7 linked regions of the Rattus norvegicus genome follow. The protein of the gene in region 1 interacts with the protein of each later gene in a pairwise test. Links are inferred from orthologs where the notes say so. Each region holds a gene or a part of one and is shown on either strand. Other genes may lie near its edges.

Region 1 (4,211 bases):
ATGTCCTGAGTTCAATTCCCAGCAACCACATGGTGGCTCACAACCATCTGCCCTCTTCTGGTGTGTCTGAAGACAACTACGATATACTCACCTAAAATAAATAATCCTTTTTAAAAAAAAATTGTTATATGTTCAAACAATTTAAACACATTAAAGTCTATTGGTTTGTTGGTTTGTTGGTTTGTTTTTAAGGTAACGCCCTTGGGTTACTTTTGGAGGTTGCTAAACTACAGATTTAAACACATTCAAGTTTATCTGTTTTAAGGTAGAGCCCTTGGGTTACCTTTGGAGGTTGCTAGGCCACCAATTCATTGCTGTAGTCTGAAAGGAAAGGAACAGAGTTAAGCATTTTCTTGCTATTCCTGGATAAGCTGTATTCAGGATAGTCAGATAAGAGTGCACTGGGCGCATGACCGTGGCTGTCCTGCAGTAACAGACCTGGGCACTATTAGCCATGTTAAATCTCTCTATTGACCAAAGGGCTCCTGGGCAATTTCATGGTGGATCAACTGAGCAGACAGCATAGGAACCACTACATACACAGCTTAATCTCAACATCCCAAGTGGGATGACTCAGACATTACAAGTCTCCCTGATAATGAATGCAACCGATAATTTTCATAATATAAAGCCTATAACTATTACGTTTTTCTTATACCTCCAATCAAAAATCAAGGTTGAATCTAACACTATTTCAAAAGATCATTGTATTTCAACAGAACTTTCTGTAATTATGGAAACATTTTATCTGTATTGATCAAACAGTAGCCACTAGGCAACCTGTGAACGCTGGGTATATCAAATGTGGCTAACGCAATTGAGGAACCAAACTTTTATTTCATTTAAAATATCAGGACTGGCTGATGACTGCCACACTGGACAGTGTAATTCAAGATTTAGCCAGTGGAGGAGAGGTCATAGAAGAGTAGAGGAACATAGTCAAAAATATATACAATCAGTTAAATCTGAATGATAAATGGAGGTAAGAAAATGCTATAGATTAGAGGGCTTTAAAGGCCTAGCAATCGAAGGCAACAGACAGTTCTCTGCAGGAAATCTGGTCCAAGCACAGTATTTCAATTTCAAGCACATATGGAGTAGCTGAAAAACCCTGAACCCATTGGATATTGATATTGTGTATTTGTTATAAATTTGTACTGATATAAAGATAGCACCGTGATTTTGTAAAACTTAAAAAAGCAAATCTAGCCTTTGGCATGGAGAGTACCTTAACTATGTTAGCTATGATAGTGTGGACTAATGCTGTCACCATCAGCCACTACACAGGACAGGAAGGCCTAAGGAACTGTCCCCTACCTCCCCACAGGAGGAAACAGCATCAGCAGATACACATTCTAAAGGGACATGCATCTGTTTATAAATCTCTAACCCATTTTAGTTTGACAACCTCCTTAACTGATCGCTGAGGACGGCACAGTGAAAGACAAGAAGCAGGGACAAAAATTACCTAAAAATGGCGCTGCATTCCAATGAATGAATATAATTCATGAATGAAACGAAGATAATTCGTTTCATCGTATCACTAAGCTACAGCCTTTAAGAGTAGGTGTAAATAGTTAGATAATTAAAGCCATTGATCTTTGACTTACAAAATATAAATACAAAATAAATGCAAATGTTCGAAGAATTGTACAAAGAGCACCTACCCTGCTTTAATAAAGTAATACATTTTAAAACTCTAAATTGGCCTCAAGAAAGAGAACTCAAAAAGCCAGGCGAGGTGGTGCAGATCCTTAACTAGCAGGCAGAGGTAGGTCCATCTACAATGAGGCCAGCCTGGTCGACCAGAGCAACAAAGGAGAGCCGGTGCTAGTTGGAGAGAAAGGGGATCGCTTTGAGCAATAAGTGTACAGTTTATAAATGAAAACTCTGTAACCCCACGATTCTGTGAAGTACAAAAGCCCTTTCCAATCAATCCATTCACGGTCAAGTGTCTCCGCGTAAAGCGTTGTTATCGAACTGCTCTTTCAAAACTTTCACTCGACTTGAAAGCGTTCCGCAATTCGCCTGCATCAGGGGTTCCCGCACCTTTCCTACGAACATTACGAGGGAACCCTGCGGACTTCACGCTGAGTGGCTAATGCTAAGGCCTGGTCCTACACCCGTAGCAGCAGGGTTCCTCCCCGGGAGCGAAGCAACCCGCCCTCCCGCTGGCCGTAGCACCTGGCCGGTCAGCTCAGAGCCCCATAGGGAGGAGACGGAGGAACCCAGGGACGCAGCGGCCGGACAGCAGTGGGCGTGCAGTGGAGGCCCCCGCGGTAGGTGGGCCGCAACGAACTGCGGCCCCGGGCCATGCGGCCAGAAGGTTAGCGGCACCACGGTGGCCAGGGCCGCAAACGCACAACAAGCCGCAGCTCGCCCGTCTTAGGGGCATGCGGTCGGTTACGGAGCGCGCCCCCGGCAGAGCGCGCCCCGGGGCCTGCCCGCCGTTCCTCTGACCGGGAACGCGCGCACGTCACAATAAATCGACGTTCGTCCCGCCCCCTACAGCAGCGAATGGACTCACCTACATACGGGGTATGAGAGCGCCGTGCGTCACGTGACCCGGAAGAAGGGCGGGGCCCGGAGGAAGCCGACGCGCGCTCTGTGGGTAAGGGTTTTTCGCGCCCGCCGCCCGGGTTTCTGAGAGTAGCCAAGCGTTCGCCCTCGACTTCAGAGTCGTTCAGCGCTTCCAGAAGCGCAGGCCGGTACTCTCAACCGACCTTCAGAGCCACTTCTTTACTGCACGCTGTGCGGAGTGGAACGGAGCACCCATGGCGACGCTCGACCTCCCCCTTGCACTTCCGCACGTAGTAGCTCCAGCACTCGAACCGGAAACGGCTGCAGCGGGTGGTTCTGCGTCTAGTGACCCAAGATGGTGGCCTGCGAAGGCCAATTTTAGTATCGGCCCCCGTGCTTTTAGCTTAGAAATACATTTACAAAGCTGTGATTGTGAAAATACATAAAACGTGAGTATGTCTCATAGGACGTACGCATCTAATATCTAGAAAGAGATGTCTGGACAAAAAAACTCCTGTTGTCACATATTGTGCTCAGAGATCAAGACAATCTGAGAGCTGAGAATTTATCTGGAGGACCGGGCATAGTAAGAGAAGAGTACAAAAAGTTTAAGAAACCTAGAGAGGTTATGCTGTGTCGTAAGGGTTTGGGGCATTGCCTGTGCTTGCTTTTCCCAGGGGGAGCACCCGATCACCTGACCCAGGAAAATAGATGTAGACTTCAAAGCCCTGCCGCGGTTCCTGTTGTTTAGAAGGACGAGCAAGCATAACTGATGAAGTACAGTGGGTGGGTAAAAAGCAAGCCGGTTTGTAGGCATGTGGGAGAGGGTCGTGTTAAAAAACATTGAGGCCGGGCTCAGGGAGTTAAAAAATCATGAGGCCAGGCTCAGAGAGATGGCTCAGGGGTTAAAAACACTGTCTACTCTTCTAGAGGTCCTGAGTTCAATTCCCAGCAACCACATGGTGGCTCACAACCATCTGTAATGAGATCTGGTGCCCTCTTCTGGTCTGCAGGCATACATGCAGGCAGAGAGCTGTATGATATATACATAATAAATAATTAAAAAACAAACAAACAAACATTGAGGCCAGCTTGTTGAAAGATTGGGAATCACCGCATTACCACTGGAGACAGTAGGACTCTGCCAGTCAATCACAAAGCTGACCTAACTTGTTTCATAGATCATTTAATGTGAGCAACAAAGCATTCAAGGACAAAGAGCCTGCTAAAAAACTGGAAGGAAGTCAGAACACTTTAGAAAAGGATGCAGTCTGTATAGGACTGGGAAAATCAGTACAGGAAAGAATGAAATGTAGCCCAAGACACAGCTATAAAAACAAAAGATTGACAGGAAAGGGGAGGAAACTTGTCAAGCCCTAGAGGAGTGACTAGAAGTGGCTCTTCAGCTAGCTTTGCATTATCCACTAGCTAGGGTCTGGTTAAGTCTGAGGAAAACTGCTAAGCCATCACCTGGTTTTCACTCAGCAGGAGGAGCTGACCACCTTTGGCTTCAGTGTTTGTATGCGGGTGTGTGGTGTGTCTGTGTGCATGAGCAGACAAAAAAGGTGTGGTTTCTGCCTACAGGTGGAGTCGTAGATGAGTGTAGAGGTCAGAGGTCAACGTCTGTGTCTTCCTTTATTACTTTGAATCTTAAACTAAACCTGGAACTTTCTGATTCAACTAGACTGCCT
Region 2 (4,231 bases), on another chromosome or scaffold:
GCCCTGACCAGCTGTTAGAGACTGCCTCATGTGAGGGCTGGCACTGGCTCTGTGCATCCAACAGTGGCATTAGTAACAGGAGGGACATGGAATTTAAAGACTGTTTCTCTGCTGTCCTTGGCAGTTTAACAGGAGCGGGCTGCTTATACCCCTATAGGAACAATATTGGTTTCTGTATACTTGACCATTTTGAGAAAAGGGAGTGTCTTATGGCCATGGAATAGGGCATTTGAGTCTTACAGGTAGCCCGAAGCTTCATTGGATTTCTCACAGCATGGATCACCTCCAGACAGCTCTTTCAGGAGCCAGCACATTGTTTGTTTGTTTGAGATGGTTTCTGTGTAGCTCTGTGTCCTGGAACTCATTTTGCAGAACAGGCTGGCCTCGAACTCAAGAGATCTGCCAGCCTCTGCCTCCTGAGATTAAAGGTGTGCTCTACCATTGCCTGGCTTTTTTTTTTTTTTCTTTTCTTTTTCCCTTTTCCTTTTTCTTTTGAGACAAGTTCTGATATAGCCCATGCTGACTTGAATTCACTATGAATCCAAGGGGAAACTCTAGAACTCCTGATCCTCCTCCCACCTGCTGAGTGCTGGGATTACAGGCATGATTACCACTCCTGGTTTATAAAGTGCAGGGATTAAACCCAGAGCTTCTGTGCATGCTACTCAAAGCATTCTACAAGTGCTGTGATTAAAGGCATGCACCACCATACCCGGCTGAAGCCAACACTTTTTGCTAGGCAGGCTGAAGGAACAGCCTGGGTGTACTCGCACCATTCTTAGCTTCCTGCTTTTAATTGTTTACCTTTGGGAGATGGAGGCTCTAGAGACAAGGACCTCAGCCCTGGTGGCAATGAGACCCCCCTTTTAGATTCTGGCTGATGGGTATAGCAGTTCCCAGGGTCTGGGTCTCATTGTAGTGTGTCTGACCAAAGCTCCCCAGTTCGCTGCGCTCGGGACTGAAGCTCAGGCCATTGCCTGGCTAGTGGAAAAAAGAGCCTCTCTGGATTCTGGGTTCCGAGCTCCACAGTCGCCTTCCCGGTGACTCCAGGTGTAGTGTGGCTTTATGCAGGGAAATTTCTTCTCTTTCTTTCCCCTTTCCAACCCTTCCTTCCTTCCGGGTCTCCCCAACTCCTCTGCCCACCCCCTCACCACTTTTCTGTCGCCGTTGCCGCGCTCACTCTCGGCTCAGCTCCGCCCCTCATCTGGCAGCCTGCCTCGCCCACCGATCCTCTTGCTTGGCTTTTTCACTCAGAGGAGCTTTCTTCGGCCGGGAAGGGGCGGGGCCTCATCGGCGGGGCGGAGAGTCTTAATAAACTAGCAGAGGCAGGGCACGCCCACGACCAAACGTTGAGAAAGAGGACGACGCATCCGCTTGTCAATTCTGCAGGTCTGGCGTGGCCTCGCCTCCGCCGGCATGACGTCACGGGACGCACTCGCCGCGAGGGTTGCCGGGACGGGCCCAAGATGGCTGGGAGCTTTGGTTCCGCTTCGGTCTACCTCGTAGAGCCCCATTCATTACCTTGCTGCTAAGTGGCGCTGCGTAGTGCGAATAGGCTCCAAGCCTTCAGGGTCTGTCCTGTCGGGCAGGAGGCCGTCATGGCAACCCTGGAAAAACTGATGAAGGCTTTCGAGTCGCTCAAGTCGTTCCAGCAGCAACAGCAGCAGCAGCAGCCGCCGCCGCAGGCGCCGCCACCACCGCCGCCGCCGCCGCCTCAACCCCCTCAGCCGCCGCCTCAGGGGCAGCCGCCGCCACCACCGCCGCTGCCAGGTCCGGCCGAGGAGCCGCTGCACCGACCGTGAGTCCGGGCGCCGCAGCTCCCGCCCGGGGCCCGCGCCCCTGGCCTGCGTGCTGGGCATGGCCAACGCGGTCCCCTGTCCAGAGGGTCGCGGTACCTCCCTGAGGCCAGGCCTTCCCGGCCCGGGCCCTTGCCTTGAGGGGTCTTTGGCCTTCCCCAGAGGAGACAGCCTGGTCAGGCCAGCGAGGGACTCGCTGAGGAGCGTCACGGCTCCAGTGCCTTCACGGTTCCCAGTTTGCGAAGTTAGGGAACGAACTTGTTTCTCTCTTCGGGGGAAACTGGGGCGGTGGCGCACTTGACTGTTGTGAAGAGAACTTGGAGAGGCAGAGATCTCTTGGGTTACCTCCTCATCAGGCCTGGGAGCCGGGAGTGCAGGACAGCGTGAGAGATGTGCGGATAGTGGATGACATAATGCTTTTAGGAGGTCTCGGCGGGAGTGCTGAGGGCGGGGGAGTGTGAACGCATCCAATGGGATATTCTTTTTCCAAGTGACACTTGAAGCAGCCTGTGACTTGAGGCACTTCATACTCTCCTGGCGTTTTCGTTTAGTTCATGGTGCAGTGTAGTTAACAAGGTTTTAAGCATCGCTGGAGAGGTGTGCTTCTGTATGCTCTGTTGGTCTGCAGGCAGTTGGATGAGTTGTATTTGTCAAGTACACGGTGAATTACTTATGTGTGATTATTAATACAAATTATACGTGTATGTGCATATATATGAAAGAGTGGACTGATATTTATTGCCTATCTATTTTCTGTTGTATATAAAATGGATACATTGGTATTGTGCAGTTTACACCCGGGAGTGTTGCAGTCAAGCTTGTTTTAGAACATGGACCACTCAGACTCTGTGTAGATATCTCGTGTACCAGTAAAAGTTCCTGTTTAGTTCTTTACTGACATCTTATAGATCTTTGGAAGCTCACTGCTTGTGACTGGAGAGAATATTGAAACAGAAGACAGATCATGAGTCACAATGCTCTAAGAGAAAAGAGATGCTCAAGATATTTCCTGGAAGTCCATGCTGGGTGTTCAGCCCCGTGATTTCTTGAGCTCAGGTCTTTCTCTCAACTCTGGGCATTTTATTTCTAATCTGAACTTGTATAATTAATAAGGAGAACTTTCAGGAAACAACCTACTAAAGAAGGACATTAAAACTCATTAGAAAACAAGTGTTCTAATGATACCACTGAGCTTATTCCAAGCTCATTTTTACTAATTTTTTTTTTTTTTGTTTTTGTGTTTCTGATAGCATCCCTTCCCTGTTCTGAGTTTACTTTTAAAAGATAAAGATTTGGGGAGAAATGTTGTCTTATTTGTAGAACAAAATATATGAATAAATTTATCTTCTATAAGGTGAAAATTGTGAATAGAAAACCTCTTATCTCTAGATAAGTAATTTCTTTTTGCTTTCGAGACAGTCTCACTATGTAACTCCTGTAACTTATGGAGATCTATCCTCCTGCCTCTGCCTCCTCAGTGCTGGGATTAAAGGCATGTGGCACCATGCTTGACTGTTCAAATATTTTTTTAGTTAGTTGTTTAGATTATTACCATGACTCTGCCTCTCTTGGTGGTAGGAATTGTGGAAGTTTACATATTTCCCACATATTCTGTAAACTTGTGTGTGTGTGTGTGTGTGTGTGTGTGTGTGTGTGTGTCTTTGTCAGAGAGAGTGTTCTGTACCCGCTTCAAACACAAATTAGTTTGTTTTTGCATAAGTAATTAAGTAATTCATTAAACATGATACAGTCCCATAGATAAAAAAGGCTAAATAATGAAAACATCTCCCTTCCCGTTTCCTAACTCTGTACCAAGGAGCAAGCTCTGTTACACTTCATTTGTCCTTCCAGATAAAATTTGGGCATATGTTAGGGCAGGCTTTTTAAATTCTTTATAAGCAAAAGTGTTTTGGAACAAAAGCTTTTAAAAGCTTAAACAACCCCTTGTTACCACACTGTACATCACCAACTGTAACATTTTCCAAAGTCAGCTCCATTAGTGTATATTTTATATTTCTATGTACTTTGCTGTGAAAAACCAAATGCTCATTAATAATAAGTAACAAACTCACTGCTTGGAAGCTTTGATTTTGGCATTCTGTTCACTCACTCCGCTTAAAAGTCCTTTTTTCAAAGTGAGACCAGCCAAAACAGTTTTAGAATGAATCTGTTCTATTTTTATGACTCTCATTGTGTTCCATAGAACCAGTGTCACAGCCATGCGTGGGCTTCTGTTGAAATAGCCGAGAACTTGTTCTCTGCTCAGCTGGCTGCATTGGGTCCGATAGGCCTTAAGCAGTTGACATTCACCTTTAATAGACCTCATTAGGTTTCCTGATCGTAGTCATTCATTTATCAATATTTGCTGATCATCTCCTGTGTGCCCAGACTTATTCTAGTTCCAGGTTTTAGCAGGGAACAAAGTTATGACCTCA
Region 3 (3,977 bases), on another chromosome or scaffold:
AGTATGAAAGCGGAGGATCATTAGAGAGCAGTGTAGAGAGGGCGGGCGGGGGAGACCCCGGGACCTCGCGACGACCTTGCCATCTCTCTGGCTGCTCCTTGCGCGCTTGGTCCGGCCGAGGGACCCAGCCGGGCTTGTCCTATAACCCCGCGCCTCCCGGGTGGTGGGAAGGGGACGTCCTGGGGACCGGTCGCGTTGGGGGCGGGGACGCTGGGGCCCAGTCCCTCTCCGCGCCGCCTGTGGGTGCCGAAGAATTTCAGGACGCTCCCTGAGTCATCCCGGTGAAGTGCCTGGGTGAGGTAGGGTGGGTGGGGGCATCAAGAATGGGAAGGCGGTGCGCTGGGGCCGGTGGCGCGGTGGGTTGTGCCAGTTTCTGGAGGCGGCGGCAGCGGCCTCGCCTCTGACCGCAACCCCAGCTACTTAATGATGCCCCTGGCGCAGCGGCGCCTCCGTGGACTTAAGCTTCTCGAACATGGGCTCTTTAAAGAACTCGACCCCCCCCCCCCCCGTGTGGCCTTCACAAAAATTTCTTAAAGATGGAGACTTTGCAAAACTTTGGGTCAGAGGCTCGTGGCCCCAGCTCTTAACATTAAATCCTTTAAAGTTGCGGTAATAGATCAGGCATCTTGGAGAGCGAGGGAGGCCAGCGGCCTATATTGTGTAGTCCCCTCCACTCAGCACAAGGAAAGTCCTCCTGAGCGCTGGGTTTATCCCTCCCCTCTCTTAGTGGGTGGCCAGGTGCCAGGCACTGTTCCAGGCGCTTGGGGAGGCGGCTTTGAGGCTCAGATATGGCAGGCGGAGAGGAGTGTTGTAAGCCACTCCTCTCTACTCTTGGGAGATGAGTGGCCCGCGAAGCCTCGAAGAGGTCCCCCTCGACTGTCCAGCCCGGGTCGCCAGGAGCGCGGGGGCGGCACCTACCCGGCGGGCTGTGACCGCGCTGGGTGCTCCGGGCGGTCCGTCGGTGCGCGCGCGTGCGCTTGCGGCTGAAACCCGACACCTCCCGCCGGCTGAGGTCAGGGCGCCGGGAGCGAGCCGGGGCCGGGGAGTGGGCGGCGTTGCGCTTGGGTGTGTCCTCAGCGGCGACAGCAGCAGGTGTTTCTTGGCCCAGGCCCCGGAAGCTCCACCTCCCCGAGCGGCCGAGCCGCCGCCGCACAGCCCCGGGTGAGATAAGCAGTTCAGACAAACCCGGGCGACGGTGGCTCCGGCATGTGTCAGGCGCGGCGGAGCAGCGGGGCCCTGGCATGAAAGGTGAGCGCGCGGGTAGGGGGGTGACGGGGGTTCCCTCGCTCTTCCCCTACCCAAGTTTGTGGGCTCGGGAGGGGCGCCAACGGCCGGTGCCAGGTCCCGCGGGTGCGAGGTACGAGAAGCGCGGGGCGCGCGGCCGACCTGAAGCCACACTCGCGGCTGCGCGCGCGCGCTGGGCGCAGCGAGCTCTGCGACCGCGGAAGTGCGCGGGGAAGTGTGCGGGGGCGGCTCCGGGGCTCGGGGTTGAAGCAAAACTTTGGATGGGGCGGGGGTGCCCAGGCAGGTGGTTGGATCGGTGTGGGGGACGCCTTGCCTGGGATGGCAGTTCAGGGGGCCTCCGCGACCCCGCCCGGCCCTTCCCGCTCCGCCTGGATGCGCCTCCCCGCCCCCCGCGGCCGCGCTGACGGCGAGTGGCCCGCCCGAGTGGAGCCGATTCAATTATATTGCAGCACCAGAGACACCTCGTCGCCCGCCGCCTCTCCGGCAGGCTAATTAAATTCCCTTCTTGGAGGCGGAGCGGGAGCTGGGCTGCCCTCCCCGCTGCCCGCCTCTCCGAGCGCAGGGAGGTGGAGGGGGCCGCTTAGGACTGCGAGGAGCAGGCTAGGGGCCGCAGATCTGGGTATCGGAGCCCGGAGCGAGCGAGGGGCGCCCCCGCGCACCTGCCACTCGTGGTGGGGGTGCCAGCTCGAGTTGGGTCGGTTTGGTGCTTGCAAACCAGCCTTTGTCTCCATGCGTTTAAAGCACACTAAACCCTTGCTAGACCCCTGCAGTGTCTTATCTGTCGCGGTTGGGGCCCACACAGGTTGGGGTTTGAAAACAAAAAGCGGGACCACCAAATGGAGGGGGGGCAAAATACAAGATCCTTTTGTAAAGGGGGCCGGAACAAAAGGCGCAGCCTCACTCTAGGAGGGAGCATCGGGCCTAAGCCGATTTCCAGCAAAGGGGACAAAGGCAGGAGGTCTTGGCTGGGCGCTTGGCAGTGTCTCAGTCTCTTGCCTGAGACTGTTTTACCCCCTCTTCCCTAGGAAGACAGGGCCCCCCCTGGCGAGCAGCCTTCCCTGGGCGTCCGTGTTACTTAAGCTTGGCTACTTAAGTGTTGCTCAGCCTGTGTTTACAGCCGCCCCCACCCGCAGGCGGGGAACCTGAGGCGCAGGCTGTGTCTGACTCAGCCGCTCAGTCGCCCCGCCACAGGTGAGGGGGGCCGGGGCACAGGCTCCGACTGGCAGCGTGTGTCATCTGCTGTGCTGGGTGTCACGCCCCACCGGGTGGACCGGAACAGGGTTGCTGGCAGGCTCACCCGATCGGGTTCTGCTGTGCAGAAGCAGCTTGCTCAACACTTCTCACAGGCACCGGGTCACGCCTGACCACCTCCTGGGGGGTGCCTTGATGGCTTGGTACAAGGTTGGCTTTTGTCGCCTGGTCTGGCAGCAGGAGCGGAGGAGGCTGGGGGAGGGGGGAGGCGCTGGTGAGCAGCCAGCCAGAGACCCGGGGTCAGCCCCGCCTTCGGAAAGGAGGTGGGAGGCCTGTCCTAGCTTTGGGCTCTGTTCTGCCTGCCTTAGGGCAGGTTCTGAACCAGGAAGGCTAGGAGGCCAGATCAGGCCCTGACCTGTTGGGGGCAGTTATTAGGATCCTGACCGGTTAGGGTTGAAAGGGGGTGTATATATATAGTTCCTTTAAACTTAACATTTTAAAATTACTAGGAGCCAAGCCTTGTCAGGCCCCCTAACCTTGGGGATGACCTGGGGCAATTCTGTTTTTAATGGGGTCGGAATGTCAGGAAGGTTCCGAAAAAGCTTGACCCTTTGGAAGCCTCTGTTGCTCTTGGCAGAGCTGGCAGGCAGGCAGGCCTCTGGCTGTGAGTAACTTCCCTGTCTCTCTGGAGGAAGTTGGAAGCTGCAGATCTCAAAGGGCTGTGTGGTTTGCAGAAAGGCAGCCACCTCAGGACTCTGCACCTCTAGCCAGAGGAAGGGGGAAGAAGAGGTCTGCGCCTCTTTGTGGTGGACCAGGGGCCTGCACCTCCTCCAGGCCCTCCATCAGCCCCAGCCCGCTGAGTCCCCAGCTGGCCTTGACCCTTCAGGCAGGTGTGGTCTATTTCCCTGCCGTGGAGGAGGTCTAGCCTTGGCTCCCTGCTGGTTCCCCCCCTCCCCTTCCTAGAGACTCACTGTGTAATAATAGCCAGTTGCCACTTTTCCCCCTTGCCCCCAGGAACCCGCAGGGGCTTGTGGAGTGAGCCAGCAAGGCCGGTTTTTCCTGGCCCCATCTGCAGCCTTGGAATGCCCAGCCTGGGTTACTCCAATGCCTGGTGGGGTTGGATAGGAGCCTTCTGGTGGGGGGAGCACGTTAATTACCCGTGTTGTGGCAACAGCCACAATCCCTCTATGAGGCCTAGCCCACGTCTTTCCCTCTCCCTCCCTCTCCTGGGATCTCGGGTCGAGAGAGCATGTTTAACCTGCAGAGAACCTCGTCTGAGGTGACATTTCAGCCTGGTGGCTGTGCGGCAGACCTGCCGACTCACTTTAATTTCTGCCCCCATGGAGTCTCAGATCTCCTCGGCCTGGCCAAGTGCAGCCCGCCAGTACTGTGCTGGCTTCACTTCCCACGCTGGCCTTTCTCCCCCCGCCCCCAGGCACACAGGCCACAGCCTGGGAGGTGACGCTTCTGAGTGTTCCTGTCAATGAGAATTTATCGAGCGCCTCCTGAACCCAGCCTCGCGTTCGCTCGCTGCTGGGAGG
Region 4 (3,500 bases), on another chromosome or scaffold:
CTTTTCCTGAAATAGAATCTTTTTGCATAGCCCTGGTTGTCCTGGGACTCTCTATGTAGACAAGGCTGGCTTTAAATTTCTCAGAGATCTGCTTCTTTTTATCCTTTTTCTTTTAACATAAGATATTTTTCAGGGTCATTATATAATTTAAAACATTAAAAATTCAGTATTGAAAAAGGATTTCATAGTGGTAGTTTAAAAAAAATCTGAGGTGTAGTAGTGCATGCCTTTAATCCAGGTACTCTGAAAGCAAAGACAATTGGATCTTTGTAAGTTTGAGGCCAGCCTCATCTACATAGAGAACTCCAGGCCTACCAGAACTACATAGTGAGACTTTGTTTAAACAAAATAATAATTAAAAAAAATATAAAACTTAAAATCTTCATTGGTTTTTCGTAGTAATCTGTGACATATGCAATACACACACACACACACATATATATATACATATATATCTCATATACATATATATATATATATATATACACATGAGAAGTTGTTTAGGAATATTTTGTGTTATTTAGTTTCACTATGAGTTCTACTTTGTGTCCTCTTTTTTTTTTTTTAAAGATTTATTTATTTATTGTATATGAGTACACTTTAGCTCTCTTCAGACACACCAGAAGAGGGCATTGGATCCCATTTACAGATGGTTGTGAGCTACCATGTGGTTGCTGGGATTTGAACTCAGGACCTCTAGAAGAGCAATCAGTGCTTTTAACCACTGAGCCATCTCTCCAGCCCTTTTTTTTTTTTTTTATTTAAAGACATTATTTTATGTGTGTATGTGCATGCCACTTATGTGCAGGTGTCTGCAGAGGCCAGAAGAGGGTGTTAGATCCCCTGAAGCTAGAGTTAGAGGCATCTGTCTGACATGGATTAGGAACTGAACTTGTCTAGCGGAAAAGCCGTCTCCAGCTCTCACTGCTCAATTTCTTTCTGCCTTTGGGCATAATATTGTTCTCTGAGAGGTTATAGCAGTTTAAAATTATTTTTTTAAAAATTATGTTTACTGTGTGTATGCGTGTGTGCGTGCCACTGTACAGATGTGGAAGTCAGAGGATATCTCGTAGGGTTTGTTTCTCAGTCTACCATGTCTGTCTTGGGGATGGAGCTCAGGCTGTCAGGCTTGGTAACAAATGCCTTAAGCTACTAAGCCATCTCACTATCCCACATTTTTAAATTCTAGGGAAGTTCACATTTTTTTCCAGAGATAAACATTTTTAGAATAGAAGCTTGTTTTGAGAAACTGTAACTTAGGAGGAATGTCTTACAGTGTTTTGGTTGGGACTTGAGCCAGGATATAGTTGCTCTCTCTAATGAGGATTCCTGCTTTTGTTTGCAACATTTTGCAGATTTAAGGCAAGAGCTAGCAGTTCGGGAACGGCAACAGGAAGTGACCCGAAAGTCTGCTCCCAGCTCTCCAACTCTGGACTGTGAGAAGATGGATTCTGCCGTCCAGGCTTCGCTCTCCTTGCCTGCAACGCCTGTGGGGAAAGGCACAGAAAACAGTTTTCCTTCACCAAAAGGTTTGTATTTTCTCTTTCAGCCATGTTAGATGATGGGTTTGAAATGCATTTGCTGATGTAGGGAAGCTGCTACAGTTAAATGATGAACAAGTTACTTTAGTATCCAGGAAACAAAGGTAGAATTGTTTTTCTAGGTCACTGTGAGATGAAGTCTGCACTCAACACAAGAGCAGCTTAAGTAAAATTCTTAAAGTTAAAAGTTACTTATTTGGGTTGGGGATTTAGCTCAGTGGTAGAGCGCTTGCCTAGGAAGCGCAAGGCCCTGGGTTCGGTCCCCAGCTCCGAAAAAGTTACTTATTTCTATGTTTTCCAAGACAGGGTCTCTCTCTGAGTAGTTCTGGCTCCTGGAACTCACTCTGTAGACCAGGCCGGCTTCTAACTCAAGAGATTCCGTGCCTCCACCTCCTGAGTGCTGGGGTTATGGAGTGCCACCATGCCCCGCAAGTTAAAAAGTTAAAAGTTTTAAAAGCTTATTTTGGTTATTGTGATATATGTTCGTGCAGATTTCTCTGTCTGTCTAATTTGTCTGTTTTGGGCCTGGGGATTGAACCCAGAGCTCTGTATGTGCTTGGCTAAGGCACTGACACTGAGCTATAATTTCAGTTCCATGTAGAGAATTTGAAAGTACAAGAAGATCAAGTTTTACAGAGGATTTTTCTTTGAGTTATTCCTTACACATTTCTTTGCTACCATAGATTGGTGTTTAGTTTTTTTTTTGTTTTTGTTTTTTTTTTTTTTTGGTTCTTTTTTTCGGAGCTGGGGACCGAACCCAGGGCCTTGCGCTTCCTAGGTAAGCGCTCTACCACTGAGCTAAATCCCCAGCCCCTGGTGTTTAGTTTTGAGGTGTAGTCTCATCAAGCCTAGGCTGTCCTGAAGATGACCTTTGAATTAATTCCTGATCTTTGCGCCTCTCCCTCCCATGTTCTGGGATTACAGGCATGTGCCATCACACCCAGTCTCTCATGTTAAGTTTTTTGATCCTACCTAAATAATTATTTCTCGCTTTTGCCATTTAGTATGTCATAGAAAAACAGGATACAGATATGAAGAGAATCTTTAAGTTACTATTTGGATTGCTATATGGTTGGCTCAGAACATTCTGTTGGATAGGTCTTGAACTACGCACTAAGGTAACATTCAGGGGAACTGGTAAGATTCACCTGTTGTCAGTCAGTGTTTGTTATGTGCACATAAGAGGTAAAGCAGTCTGTAACCAGTCTTAGAGCCTTGCAGTGCAATCCCAGAGCTTTCCAGTTCCAGCTTGTTTAGGTAGTCTGCAGTTCGTATCCCAGCTTCCTCCACTCGCCCTTTTTTCACCCTCAACAGACGCTGTCTCCTCTTGCCCTTCTTAAAATACATTTTATTCTCTAGAGTGAGAGGAGGTTCTCTGGGCAATTAGGACAGCATTTCCTGTATTTGTGCTGCTCAAGTAGCCACAAGTGACTGTTAAACTTTATATTAATTTAAATGAATGAAAGGGATTCAATTTCCTTTATCAGTCACATTTCATTATTGAGAATATTATCATGCTGATTACTGGCTTGGCACAGTATTTCTTTTATATGTGTGTGGTTTTTTAGATTTATTTGTTTCATATATGTGAGTACATTGTAGGTGTACTCATCTAGTCAGTGCTCTTAACCACTGAGCCATCTCTCCAGCCCCTGCACAGTATTTCTCTTCTCTTTGTCTTGCCTTGCTTTTCCTTTTTTTTTTTTTTCTCTTGAGATATGGTTTCACTTTGTAGTCCTGTCTACCCTGGTACTCTGTCTCTGTCTCCCCCCCCCCCCCCCCGCCCCCCCAACACACACAAGGCTGGCCTCAACCTCACAAAGATTCCCTGCCTATAACTGTACCCAGTTTGGCGTATTCTTTTATTTTTTTCAATTGCAAGTAATTTTTTTATACAACATTCTGATCCTGTTTTCCCTCCCTCATCCCTTCCCAGACCCTTCCTTCCTCTTCACCCTT
Region 5 (4,061 bases), on another chromosome or scaffold:
GTCATGGATTCACTTCTGAAATCTTATTTCTCAGAAAACATTATATATATTACATATATATAATATTATATATCACATATATATAATATTATATATCACATAGAACATATACATAGAATATCTCAAACAATATAAAAACATTTGCAGATATGTATGCGATCTTCATGTTGTATTAAAATTGTAGTCATCAAAGCTCAAGATTCCAACTTGTGTACAGCGCATTGCTAGAAATACTGTCTCATCATCATCGTCGTCATCATCATCAGGATTGCTGGAGAATCAAATTCAGCGCCTCACATGAACTGAGCAAACATTGTACTCCTATGCTGCAACCTTACCTCATAGTCTATATTAAAACTAATGTCACAGCAATTGGAGTAGCACATGCTTGTAGGATATGTTGAAGAGTTCAGGACCAGCCTGAGGTACAAATTTTAAAATCGAGTCATAAGAAGTGGAAAGCCAAGTGTGGTTGACCAGTTACTGAGTACTTCTTACATGGAGCCAGAGTTGACAACTTCCCTCTACTGAAAATTGTTTCAGTACCATCGACACTACATGTCTCAGATTAAACGAGTCTACTAGGGTGCCTGGCACTTTTGTGGATGTTCAATAAACTTGAGTTGAAGCAGAATAAATACCACCCATGGATAAATGCTGCACAGACCCAACAGTGGTGGTTCAAGTATCACAGGCTGGCCAGTGTTTCAAAGCCCAAAAAAGCCTGTCCTTACAAAAGGACAGCTTAGGTTAACTGTTTCCGCGATAGCTTCCTTTTTAAGTAGCTATACGCTGAATACAACACATAAACGACACGTAAACAGTGATCAGGAAGAGGGACTAATCTAAAGGAATTTGAGCAACTCTGGCCAGGAAAGAAGTTTGCTGCTACTGAAATGTTTTGGTCTTAGCCACTGGCAGGATTGATTGATTGTAGTTCGCACAGCGTTTTGTGTGTAGCCTGCCTAAACATCTGTTTTTCTATAACTGTTGCTCAATTCTCTTTTCCTTTCGAATGACCATCTTTGAAGCACGAAAGAAAATCCATCCAAACGACCAAACAAATTATCCTAACGGCTTCTAAATCCTTTAAAGGAGAATCTGAGCTTAAAGAGGGTCTTTTACTCCCCCGCCCCTTACCTCCAGCATGGGTTCAAACTACAATTCCTAGGCTTTGTCCAAGTCCCTCCCTTTACCCAGTCATCTAATGAATATGTAAATTAAACATAATTGGCAGCCAATGGCGTGGGTTCTGGTCACATGGTGCTGATGGTAGGTGAGCAGACAGAAGTTGTGTCAGTGAACAGAGAGGGCTCTCAGTCTGGGGCAAGCGCTCTAGTGAGCGTGGACGGATGCTTAGGCAGTAGTCCTGGCAGCGGCAGCAGCGGCGGGCAGTAGTGGTGGCAGAAGAGGGGAAGAGAGACGGCCCGGAGACCTACACACACTCACACTTTCAAGTTCCCTTGGAGGGAGAGGAGTTGGGGCTGCAGAAAGAGGCCGGGAGCGGTCCCATCTATCCCATCCCGTTTCCCCCCTTTTCCTCTTGCTCCCTGGCTCTGTGAGAGTTCAGGATTTGGGTAGCCATACGTGGCATTGAGGGCAAAGGGGCCGGGAAAGTGGGGACCAGAACCAGAGGTGTAGTGGAAGATGCCCATCCTGCTGTTCCTCATAGATACGTCCGCCTCCATGAACCAGCGCACTGACCTGGGCACCTCCTATTTGGACATTGCCAAAGGCGCTGTGGAGTTATTCTTGAAGGTAAAAGGAGGGGAAAGGAGATGAGGGGGTCGCTCCTGCGGGATGGGGTGGTGGTGGACTGAGGTGCTTCTGTAACGTTTGTATCGCTTCCTCTCCTTTCCTACGCTTTCCTACGCGACCCCTCCGTCATCCCTCGCCCCGCAGCTGCGCGCCCGGGACCCGGCCAGCCGCGGAGACAGGTACATGCTGGTCACCTACGACGAGCCTCCCTACTGCATCAAGGTAAACAGGCCAGCGGGGGAGCGGTGGGCGGGAAGAGCGTGCGCGTCCACTAGCCTGGGGCTGCTGATCCCTTTTGCCTCCACCCGTGGCGATCCTGCGTCGCCCTGCAGGACGGGCTGGAGTGCGGGACGCCGAAGGGCGGGAGGAGCGGGGCGGGTGGCGGCGGCCGGGGGTCGCAGAGAGAGGCCCGGAGATGAGCAGTCCGTGCAGAGAAGGCACGGGAGGGCCGAGCTCCTAGCACGGCGGCAGCAATCGACTCCGAAGATGGCGGACATTTTGCTTTTGTATGAGGCAGCCAGAGGCAGGGTGAGGGCGCTGCTGAGATGGAAAGGAGGGAGGGGAGGAGGCCGAGGAAGGAGGGCTCAAGGCCCTTGGTGAGGCTGCGGTCCCTTCGCCCGGGACTCCGCCCCGATGTGCTCCTAGCCCGGCGCGGGCTTTGCTGCCGCCTGGGCTCCTCCTCTGGTCCCTCCTTCCATCCCTCGGCCCGCCCCGCCTGGGCTTCCTCTCCCTCCTCCCTCTCCGGTCCGCTTCTCCTTCACCGCATCTTCCCCTCCTCTTCCTGCCAAACGCGGGGCTGCACTAGCGCTGGCCTCCCAGAGCCGCTCCTTTGCATTCGAGGCCCTGGCCCCCGCCCCTCTCGTGCCACCACCCGCTCGGAATTGCTTAGCCTACGCTGCTCCCAGCTCCCAGACCCTGCGCGCTCTGTCAGGTTGAGCCCTGCTCTGCTCGCAGTTACCTTAGCGACAGTTGCTGTTTCATTGGAAATTCCTGCGAAGCAACCACAGAGTGTTTGGGGGAGGGGAGGGGCGCGCGCGGGAGGGGGGGGGTGCCCGAGCAAAACCTTCTTAGGGAACTGGTTTAACAGGGGCCAGAGTATTTTAGGGAGCAGGCCTACCTATTTGCATCCGAAATTAGGTTTGCTCTTAGCCGCATAGGGATTTGCCAAGGGGACGATTGGACTCTGAGCAGATGCACTAGACCAAGTCAATGATTTGATTCTCAGGGTCTGACCCTTAGCCTCCGTGGGGTAGTTATTTGTGTTCCCATGGTAAAGAGATAAAGAACTGGTTCGCCTGCAGTGGGTAGATAAGAGGAACTCAAACTGTTAAATCATCCCGCCTAAGAATCGTGCTTGCCTGTTGAAATATTAGAAGGTCGTTACCATTACCCTTGATGTCTTTCACTACTGCGTCATCCATCTGGCCCCCCTCATCCCCTCGCGGGATAACTTATCTATCTCAGTAAATTAACTGGAGGTTCAGCCTGGACGTGTTGTAAGCCCTGGTTTAATGAGTTGTTCCCTCTCAAAGTAAGTTGCCTAGTGTTCTTTCAGACAATGAAAGCGAAGATACTGATTTGGTAACTCTCTGCTTTGATTAAAAGTTGAAGTTGTAGGATTTTCCTAATACTATTTTGGTTTCAACTCGTTTATTTTCATTTTTTTTATTTATCTGCTAAAAAAAATTCGAGCCACTACATATCTTGCAAATATCGAATATTTTTAGAAATGCCAGTTTTCCAGGCCAGCCTGGACTAACATATTGAGAATCTAGAGCTGGAGACATAAATTTCAGTAATGGAGCATTTACAAATATGAAGCTTTGCAAAAATTCTATTCTCATCGTAGAAAAATAAAATACGACCCAGAGCCTGAATGTTTGCACACTTCGACTATTACTAACAGTAAGAGCCTACCTTTTGTGGTGTGCTCATTTGAAGATGCATCAGTTAATTTGAAGCAGTCGAGGGGATAAACTACAAAAACAGTTCTTATCTATCGTTTTATTTAAAGGCACAGCATTTTTGCAAGGAATGCTGGTAGTTCCTAAAATAGTTTGTTTTTTTTTTTTTTTGAGTTATAGGAATTACCGGACAGCCTGCTGTGGAGGTCTTTAATCAGCGTGCCTTTAATCCCCAGCACACGGAAGGCAGAGTGAGATGGACCTTTATGAGTTTGAGGCCAGCCTGGTCTACATAGCAAGTTCTAGGACAGCCAGGGTTCTATAGTGAGACACTTTCTCAGAAAAAAGAAAAGAAGAGAAAAGAAAAAAAAAAGAAAAATAAAGAGAAAGAATCACATG
Region 6 (3,500 bases), on another chromosome or scaffold:
CAGTAGGTCACAAAACCAAAAGTCATGAATGTGAGGGAAAGATTTGTGGAGAGGGGTGCATTGAGAGGGGAGGAGATGAGAGGATTGTGGGAGTATAATCAGAATACATTGTATGTATGTATGAAATTGACCAAGAGAAAAAAATTAATTGAAAAAAGAAAAAATAGTAACATAAAATAGTGCTTAGCTGAGCTCATAGAACTAAGTTATAAACTTTAATCATTGTACTACATTTTAGAGATTAAGTCTCCCTAACAACCTGTACTTCTAATATAAAAATACTAATTCAATCTTAGTTAATTCAATGTAGTTGAATTCAATCTTTTGTTATCAGTCTAGCTTTTCTCTTCAGTTGGCATCCATAACTGTGCTTTCCTAGAGTTTATCCCAGTCACTTGTGGTCGTTTACCATAACATTTAAGTGGTGTAGCACAATTTACTTTATATAGACATGAAGCTTAGGTTAACAACACAACCACTGGGTGGAGTGATGAGTGGCGTGGCAGATATCACACACATCAGATGCTGCCAGTACAAGCCGGGGTCTGTGCTCCCATGCCCTTAGGAGGCAGAGGCCGAGAGTGTTGGGAGGTCAAGGTCATCTTCAACTACCAAGCAAGTTTGAGGCCAGCCAAGGCTCCATGAGATCCTTCCTCAAAACACCAAACTAATAAACCTAGCTTCTCCTTTATTGCTTTTGAGGTTCCAGAAAATTATAAGGAATTGCTTGCTGGGGCTGCTCCCTCAAAATAGTGAGGCAGTCATATAATCATTATGTGATTTATTTTTACATGATTTTCTGAAACTACAAGACATGGTTAAATGCTCATTTTTATGTGTCTGCAGGTTGGTATCATGAGAGACCGTCTGGTTCAGTTCCTTACTAAGGTGCAGTTTGCTGTGACTGTACTTTTGGCATCATGGACGGAGAAGAAGCAGCATAGAAAACTGACGACAACTTTGTGTGTTCTCAACGCCATATTTGCTCCCCTTGTGCTGATTATTATAGTTGTCTCAACAGTGCTGTCCTCTCCTCTACTGCCTCTCTTCACACTGCCTGTTTTCTTGGTGGGGTTCCCTCGTCCAGTTCAGAGCTGGCCAGGAGCAGTGGGCACTGCAGCTTGTGTGTGCACAGACACGGTGTTCTACCAGCAGATGGTCCCCAGGCTGACTTCAGCACTGCAGACTGCAATGGCCGCTGGAAGTTTAGGTGAGTGGTAAGCTGTGCTTAAAAACTTCTTTCTGATATATTTGAGGTAAAAGAAAAGGAGGGAGGGAGGGAGGGAGGGAGGGAGGGAGGGAGAAAACAAAACAGAAGATCCCTTTGATCCAACCATAAAACAGATTCTAGTACTTTGATGTATAACCAGAGACTAAATATGAAATAGAATTATATCTCTACTGCTTACTTGGAGATAAAATGATAATAAAAATACTTAAGGAAAATTTCCCCAGAGTGAATTGGCCATTTAAAAAGGAAAACTTTTTTTGTAATAAATTCAATTGGCAGGCTCACCATTGAAACAAAACCTTTCTGCCTTTCTGCTCATGCTTCTTAGGAACTTAAAATGAATTTCTGTCAAGTCAATACAGTGGGTTCTACCTGTAAAAGGAAAGCAGCTGCTGGTGTGGATCACCCTGCCTAGTACATCCCAGTACGGAGACCTTTAAAGGAAAGCAGGCATACAAACATGTGCAAATACTGAGGGCCAGTAGAGATTCACCAGGCGCCCACTTGGGGAATCAATCTCTTGTAGGCATTTCAGTGGGTAGTGTCCAGCCCTGCTGAGCTAACCCATCATGGCCACATGTTGAATAAGGACACAGACACACACAGACACACACACACAGAGAGAGAGAGAGAGAGAGAGAGAGAGAGAGAGAGAGAGAGAGAGAGAGATGCGCTATTTCTAAGAGCAAAAGAACTAGAAATACCTAAATTGTTTCCCAGCCAGAAAAAGAATGCTCAAAACCTCCTACAGTCACAGTGAATTCTAACGACTTGAGTGACCGGGAGCTGGAGGCAGTCAACATGAGCAAGGCTTATAGGTCCTATGTTGAAAGAGAGACCCAAGTTTTAAAAGCATACATCGCAAATTGATGTAAACTATATAAACATCTCAAAACCATAACACACTGTTCTATGTTTATCGTTTAGATCAGCGTGAGGCCGGCTTCATGCATTGTAGTCTTCCCTAGTAGGCTTCATGCATATTGAGCATTTTATTCAATAGTCTCCACTTGGTGGTTTTGCTGACAAACATAGCCTCAACTTTTCTGTATTCTGCCTTTATGATAACCCTTCCAAATGTTCACAAAGAGCTTGACTTAATGGCATGCAGTGAGTACTCATTTCTATTCTTTTGTTGTTGTTGTTGTTATTTTATTTATTTACATTTCAAATGTTATCCCCCTTCCCAGTTTCCCCTCCATGAGCCCTCATCCCCTCCTCCCTCCCACCGACCTCTATAAGTGTGTCATCCCCCAACCCCCGTGCTCCTGCCCCAGTGGCCTAGCATTCCCCTATCCTGGGTTATCAAGCCTCCATAGGACCAAGCGGCTCCTCTCCAGTGATGCCAGATAAGGCATCTTTGCTATCTATGCAGCTGGAGCCATGGGTATCCTCTTGTACTCTTTGGTTGGGGTTTAGTCCCTGGGAGCTTTAGGGGGTCTGGTTGGTTGACATTGTTGTTCTTCCTATGAGGTTGCAAACCCCTTCAGCTTCTTCAGTCCTTGGCCTAACTTCCCCATTGGGGTCCCTGCTCTCAGTCCAATGTTTGACTGCGTATATCTGCATCTGTATTGTTCCAGCTCTGGCAGACCCTCTCAGGGGACAGCTATACAGGGCTCCTGTCAGTAAGCACTTCATGGCATCAGCAATAGTGTCTGGGTTTGGTGTCTGCAGATGGGATGGATCCCTAGATTGGGCAGTCTCTGGATGGCCTTTCCTTCAGTTTCGGCTCCACTCTTTGTCCCTGCATTTTCTTTTGATAGGAGAAATTCTGGATTAATATTTTTGAGATGAGTGGCCCCATCCCTCAACTGGGGGCTGTGCCTATCCACTGGATAAGCTCTCTGCAGGTTCTATCTCCCCTTTGTTGGGTATTTTAGCTAAAGTCCTCCCTATTGGGTCCTGGGAACCTCTTGGGTCCCTGGCATCTGGCATTTTCTAGTGGCTACCACCAGTTCCCCATCCCCACTGCTACACACCGACTTTCAAATTCCTGACCCTCTGTCCTTCTCCCTCATCTCCTCCCATAACTGAACTGGCCCCCCTTTTTCCCTCCCAGATTCCTCACTCCCTCTACTTCCAAGAGATTACTCCCTTCCCCCTACTGAGTAGCACTGTAGAATATACACTTCTGTGTGATGTTCTTTCTTCTTGGGTTTCATATGGTCTGTGAGTTGTATTGTGGGTATTCCGGGCTTCTTTTGGATAATATCCACTGATCAGTGAGTACATACGATGTGTGCTCTTTTCTGTCTGGGTTACCTCACTC
Region 7 (3,980 bases), on another chromosome or scaffold:
TCGCCTGGAACGTCACATAAAGGCTTCTCTTTGTCACCAAGAAACAAAATCTCAAGCATAAAAGCATATTGGGACAAAATTCTGTCCCAATGGAAAGTGATTAGGAAGTAAAAAGAAACTCTGTAAAATTGCCATGAGTGGATTTCTGAGGTAGTTTCTTTATGCAACTCTCACTTCTGTACCAACAGTGCCTGCAGGTCTGACAGCTCAGGCTTTGTACTGAAATAGAGTTTTGGACTCGCTTGGTGTTGATGGTCTGGGTCTCTACATAGCATGCTGGAACTCACTAGACCAGGCTGGCCTCCCGACTCAGAGATCCACCTGCTTCTGCTCCACAAGGTCTGGGTTTAAGAGTGAGCACCAGCTTTTGGACTTTTTACTTAGAAGGGATTCTCCTGTTACTCAGGCTCCAAGAAAGGGCTTCACTTCCTTACCAGGCCATCTAAAAGAATGTGTGAGTACCCATGTGCACACATTCATTCTTAGTGTGTACCTCCTAGGAATACCTTTTTGCCTGGGTTTTAAAATCATTTGGTCCCTACATGCCACTATATAGTGTAGGTGCTGCTCTATTTGCTAGTTTCATAGGATCAATGAAAACTTAAAACACAGAAGGAACATTGAAATTTAAATCTCTGGAGACAGTTCCAGATGCAGAGTTGTGGAGTGGGAAGGTCTGTTTATGGGCTCTGTCAGGTCCTCTGTAGACAACATCGTGGTTGGTGTCTGAAAGTCTCGATGGCAGCTCAGTGTGGTGGTGCACACCTGTATTGCTAGCATCAGGGGGGCAGAAGCAGGGGGTCATTGTAAGTTGGGCCACTTTGTCAATGGTAAAGTCTGCTCTAATTAAACCATCGCTCTCGTTGGGCAGGATAGCTTATAAGCAGCCGAGCCTGAGAGCTGGACCCAGACCTGGAGTAGATTCCATGCCTTCCTAGTTTTTACACTTTTTTTTTTTTTTTTTTTTTTGGTTCTTTTTTTCGGAGCTGGGGACCGAACCCAGGGCCTTGCGCTTCCTAGGCAAGCGCTCTACCACTGAGCTAAATCCCCAACCCCTACACTTTTTTTTTTTTAAGATTTATTCATTTATTATATATAAGTACACTGTAGCTGTCTTCAGACACACTAGAAGAGGGCATCAGATCCCATTACAGATGGTTGTGAGCCACCATGTGGTTGCTGGGAATTGAACTCAGGACCTCTGGAAGAGCAGTCAGTGCTCTTACCCGCTGAGCCATCTCTCCAGCCCTAGTTTTTACACTTTTATATTTTAGATAATACTATCTCTTAGAAAGCTGAAGATTAAGATGATTTCAACTACTTTGTATTTTCTTTGTGTGCAGAGGGGTGGGATTTAGCAGATGGTGCTGTTTGTACTGTCTCCTGGGGTGGTTTTTGTAACTTTGTGTTTTTATACAGAGAAGTGCTCCATTGTTTTTTTTTTTTTTTTTTTTTTTTTGGTTCTTTTTTTTTTCCGGAGCTGGGGACCAAACCCAGGGCCTTGCGCTTCCTAGGTAAGCGCTCTACCACTGAGCTAAATCCCCAGCCCCGTGCTCCATTGTTAACAGAAATATTCTTACTGTTATTGCTTTGCCATCTTTCATGAGGTTTAAGAATAAAACAATGTCTTTTGTGATCCAGAATTAGAAAGATGCATGTGCTTAGTTTAATTTACAGTGAGCAGCAGTTTTCCTATCTCAGGCTTTGAGATAGGAATGCCTAGGTTCCTATAAGGATTCCTTCTATATGATTAGAACACTTGTAGCCCAGATTGGCCTCAAACTCGTAACTCTTCTGCCTTAGCCTCCCAAGTGCTGGGATCACCAGGGCTATGCATAGTAAGTTTGAGGCCAGCCTAGCTTACACAGTGAGATGCTCTCAAGCAAAAGGAAAGAAAGAGGCTCTGGTTAACAGACAGTACTCAGTGCTGTCCTTGCCTCGTAATCTTTTCTTTTAACTGAAATAGTCCATTTCTAGGTGGGATAACTGTTTGGTGTACTTAGGGCTGGTATTTTTCTGTTAGTTTCATTACTTTTTGCTTATTCCTTTCATAGGTTCCTTTCAGATTAAGTATTTTTTTTTGTATACTATAATCAGATAATGGGCTGGGCATGATAGCCCACACTTTTTTTTTTTAAGATTTATTTAAAAAAATATAAATACACTGTAGCTGTCTTCAGACACCAGAAGATGGTGACAGATCTCATTACAGATGGTTGTGAGCCACCATGTGTGGGTGCTGGGATATAAACTCAGGACCTCTGGAAGAGCAGTCAGTGCTCTTTTTTTTTTTTTTTTGTTCTTTTTTTTCAGAGCTGGGGACCGAACCCAGGGCCTTGCGCTTCCTAGGTAAGCGCTCTACCACTGAGCTAAATCCCCAGCCCCGCAGTCAGTGCTCTTAACCACTGGGTCATCTTTCCAGTCCAATTAAGTATTTTCTTATAATCCCATTTTTATTCCTATGTTTTTGTCTGGTTATACCTTTTTGCATGTTTCAAAGATTATTTTCAGAATTGTAATTTTCATCTTTAATTTGTATTACCATCAATTGAGAGGTGAGGTACTAGGCTGGGTATAACTTAGTGCTTGCTTCCTGTGATGGAGACTTGGACCTCCGTCCAGCACTGCAAAGAAAACGTCAGAGAGAGCTTCTTTGTAATGGTGCTTCCTGACCCTCATGCCCATAACGGGTGTTGTGGAAGGAGAGAACTGCCTGCCTGTATCACACATGCCATAGCACCTGCAGATCTACCCACGGACACAGCAGATCTACCCACAGGCCCTGCAGATCTACCACAATCCCACGCCCTCCTCACATAATAGTAAATAAACCTTGACACTTAGTGTGCTGCTTCAATGAGCTGTAGAAACCTTGTAGCAAATGTAACCTTTGCATTTATGTAACACCTTGATGCTGTTTTATTTAAAGAAACCACCAGCTGTGTATATATGGTGTGTGTACACATATATACAGGGATTTTTTTCCAGCAGCAGTGAGAGGTTTTAAACAATTTTAGTGACGTTTTCATGTATGTATTACATATGATATATGTGTATTATATATACATGTATATATATATATATCAATGTATCACACACACATATCATTGTTCTCTGCTTGTTTTTTGAATTTGTTTTTTATTTTGAGACAAGGTTTCTCTGTATAGCTCTGCTGTGTGGTAACTTAGGCTAGCCTGGACTAAGTTTCTCATTAGAAGCTGTGGCAGGCATTTGCAGTTTGGGCTGAGTAAGATTTGAGCTGATTTAGTCATCTGTAGATGTAGCCATCTTTAGATGGCTTCTGTTAGGATGAGACCCATAGTCAAGGGATGACAAAGCCGCTGTGGTAACATGCTTAGAATTCCAGTGCTTATGGTGCTGAGGCAGGAGGACTGGGTTTAGGCCAGCTGGGGCACACAGGAAGATCCTTTTTGAGAAGTGGAGTGTGGCGGTGGGGTCGGCATCTTTAAATAGACTAGGGCAGATAACTCGAGCCAGAGTGACTTCCCGGGCTGGCCACAGTACCAGAAGTAGTGAGCCTGCGTCAGAGTCTGCCAAAGGGGAGCATCCTTCTTATGTACTAGTGCTGTCGTCCGTGACTGAGAGAGATGACAGGAGATAGGAACAGATATGGTTGTTTAATGTATGTCTGCATTTAAATTAATGAGGATATTTATCAAAACAGATGCCATAGGCCTCGTTCTAGACTTGCATAGTCAATATCTGAGTATGTGGTCCAGGAGTGTGCCTTTCAGATGACCTCCATGCTGGTCTTGAGCACAGTGATACTTAACAGTAGCCACTACCAGGCGCTTCCCTGCTCTGCCCACCTTTTGTGAACCAGAATCATGTTTATCTGTGAAGCCATGTGAGACTCTGATGAAACAGTTTGGTCATAGTCATAGAATTCTAGAGCCTGCATAAAGGTGCCTGACAAGCTCAGCTGCAGCCTGACATCATGAAGGGGAGAACTGAGGGCA

The links.
Region 2: the proteins of Cep63 (region 1) and Htt interact in binary tests that used the Homo sapiens proteins (3 or more experiments, as listed by UniProt). The link is inferred for Rattus norvegicus from reciprocal best matches to the Homo sapiens genes CEP63 and HTT.
Region 3: the proteins of Cep63 (region 1) and Gse1 interact in a two-hybrid assay, tested with the Homo sapiens proteins (2 studies listed by BioGRID and IntAct). The link is inferred for Rattus norvegicus from reciprocal best matches to the Homo sapiens genes CEP63 and GSE1.
Region 4: the proteins of Cep63 (region 1) and Ndel1 interact in a two-hybrid assay, tested with the Homo sapiens proteins (2 studies listed by BioGRID and IntAct). The link is inferred for Rattus norvegicus from reciprocal best matches to the Homo sapiens genes CEP63 and NDEL1.
Region 5: the proteins of Cep63 (region 1) and Ints6l interact in a two-hybrid assay, tested with the Homo sapiens proteins (2 studies listed by BioGRID and IntAct). The link is inferred for Rattus norvegicus from reciprocal best matches to the Homo sapiens genes CEP63 and INTS6L.
Region 6: the proteins of Cep63 (region 1) and Pcnx4 interact in a two-hybrid assay, tested with the Homo sapiens proteins (2 studies listed by BioGRID and IntAct). The link is inferred for Rattus norvegicus from reciprocal best matches to the Homo sapiens genes CEP63 and PCNX4.
Region 7: the proteins of Cep63 (region 1) and Ppp4r1 interact in a two-hybrid assay, tested with the Homo sapiens proteins (2 studies listed by BioGRID and IntAct). The link is inferred for Rattus norvegicus from reciprocal best matches to the Homo sapiens genes CEP63 and PPP4R1.

The regions. Positions count from the first base shown.
Region 1 is NC_086026.1:112,081,847-112,086,057, forward strand, and holds the start of Cep63 (centrosomal protein of 63 kDa), read right to left. Parts: upstream 2,801-4,211; 5' UTR 2,528-2,800; intron 2,416-2,527; exon of another isoform or gene 2,185-2,415; intron 1,817-2,184; exon of another isoform or gene 1,668-1,816; intron 322-1,667; exon of another isoform or gene 313-321; coding exon of another isoform or gene 284-312; intron 1-283. UniProt on the Homo sapiens protein: Required for normal spindle assembly.
Region 2 is NC_086032.1:80,216,869-80,221,099, reverse strand, and holds the start of Htt (huntingtin), read left to right. Parts: upstream 1-1,431; 5' UTR 1,432-1,598; coding exon 1,599-1,798; intron 1,799-4,231.
Region 3 is NC_086037.1:65,493,483-65,497,459, forward strand, and holds the start of Gse1 (Gse1 coiled-coil protein), read left to right. Parts: upstream 1-1,177; 5' UTR 1,178-1,241; coding exon 1,242-1,248; intron 1,249-3,977.
Region 4 is NC_086028.1:54,041,536-54,045,035, reverse strand, and holds part of Ndel1 (nuclear distribution protein nudE-like 1), read left to right. Parts: intron 1-1,355; coding exon 1,356-1,529; intron 1,530-3,500. UniProt on the Homo sapiens protein: Required for organization of the cellular microtubule array and microtubule anchoring at the centrosome. May regulate microtubule organization at least in part by targeting the microtubule severing protein KATNA1 to the centrosome.
Region 5 is NC_086039.1:139,294,230-139,298,290, forward strand, and holds the start of Ints6l (integrator complex subunit 6-like), read left to right. Parts: upstream 1-1,261; 5' UTR 1,262-1,647; coding exon 1,648-1,758; intron 1,759-1,902; coding exon 1,903-1,980; intron 1,981-3,842; exon of another isoform or gene 3,843-4,061.
Region 6 is NC_086024.1:96,888,460-96,891,959, forward strand, and holds part of Pcnx4 (pecanex-like protein 4), read left to right. Parts: intron 1-846; coding exon 847-1,210; intron 1,211-3,500.
Region 7 is NC_086027.1:112,851,767-112,855,746, forward strand, and holds the start of Ppp4r1 (serine/threonine-protein phosphatase 4 regulatory subunit 1), read left to right. Parts: upstream 1-1,180; 5' UTR 1,181-3,980. UniProt on the Homo sapiens protein: Regulatory subunit of serine/threonine-protein phosphatase 4. May play a role in regulation of cell division in renal glomeruli. The PPP4C-PPP4R1 PP4 complex may play a role in dephosphorylation and regulation of HDAC3.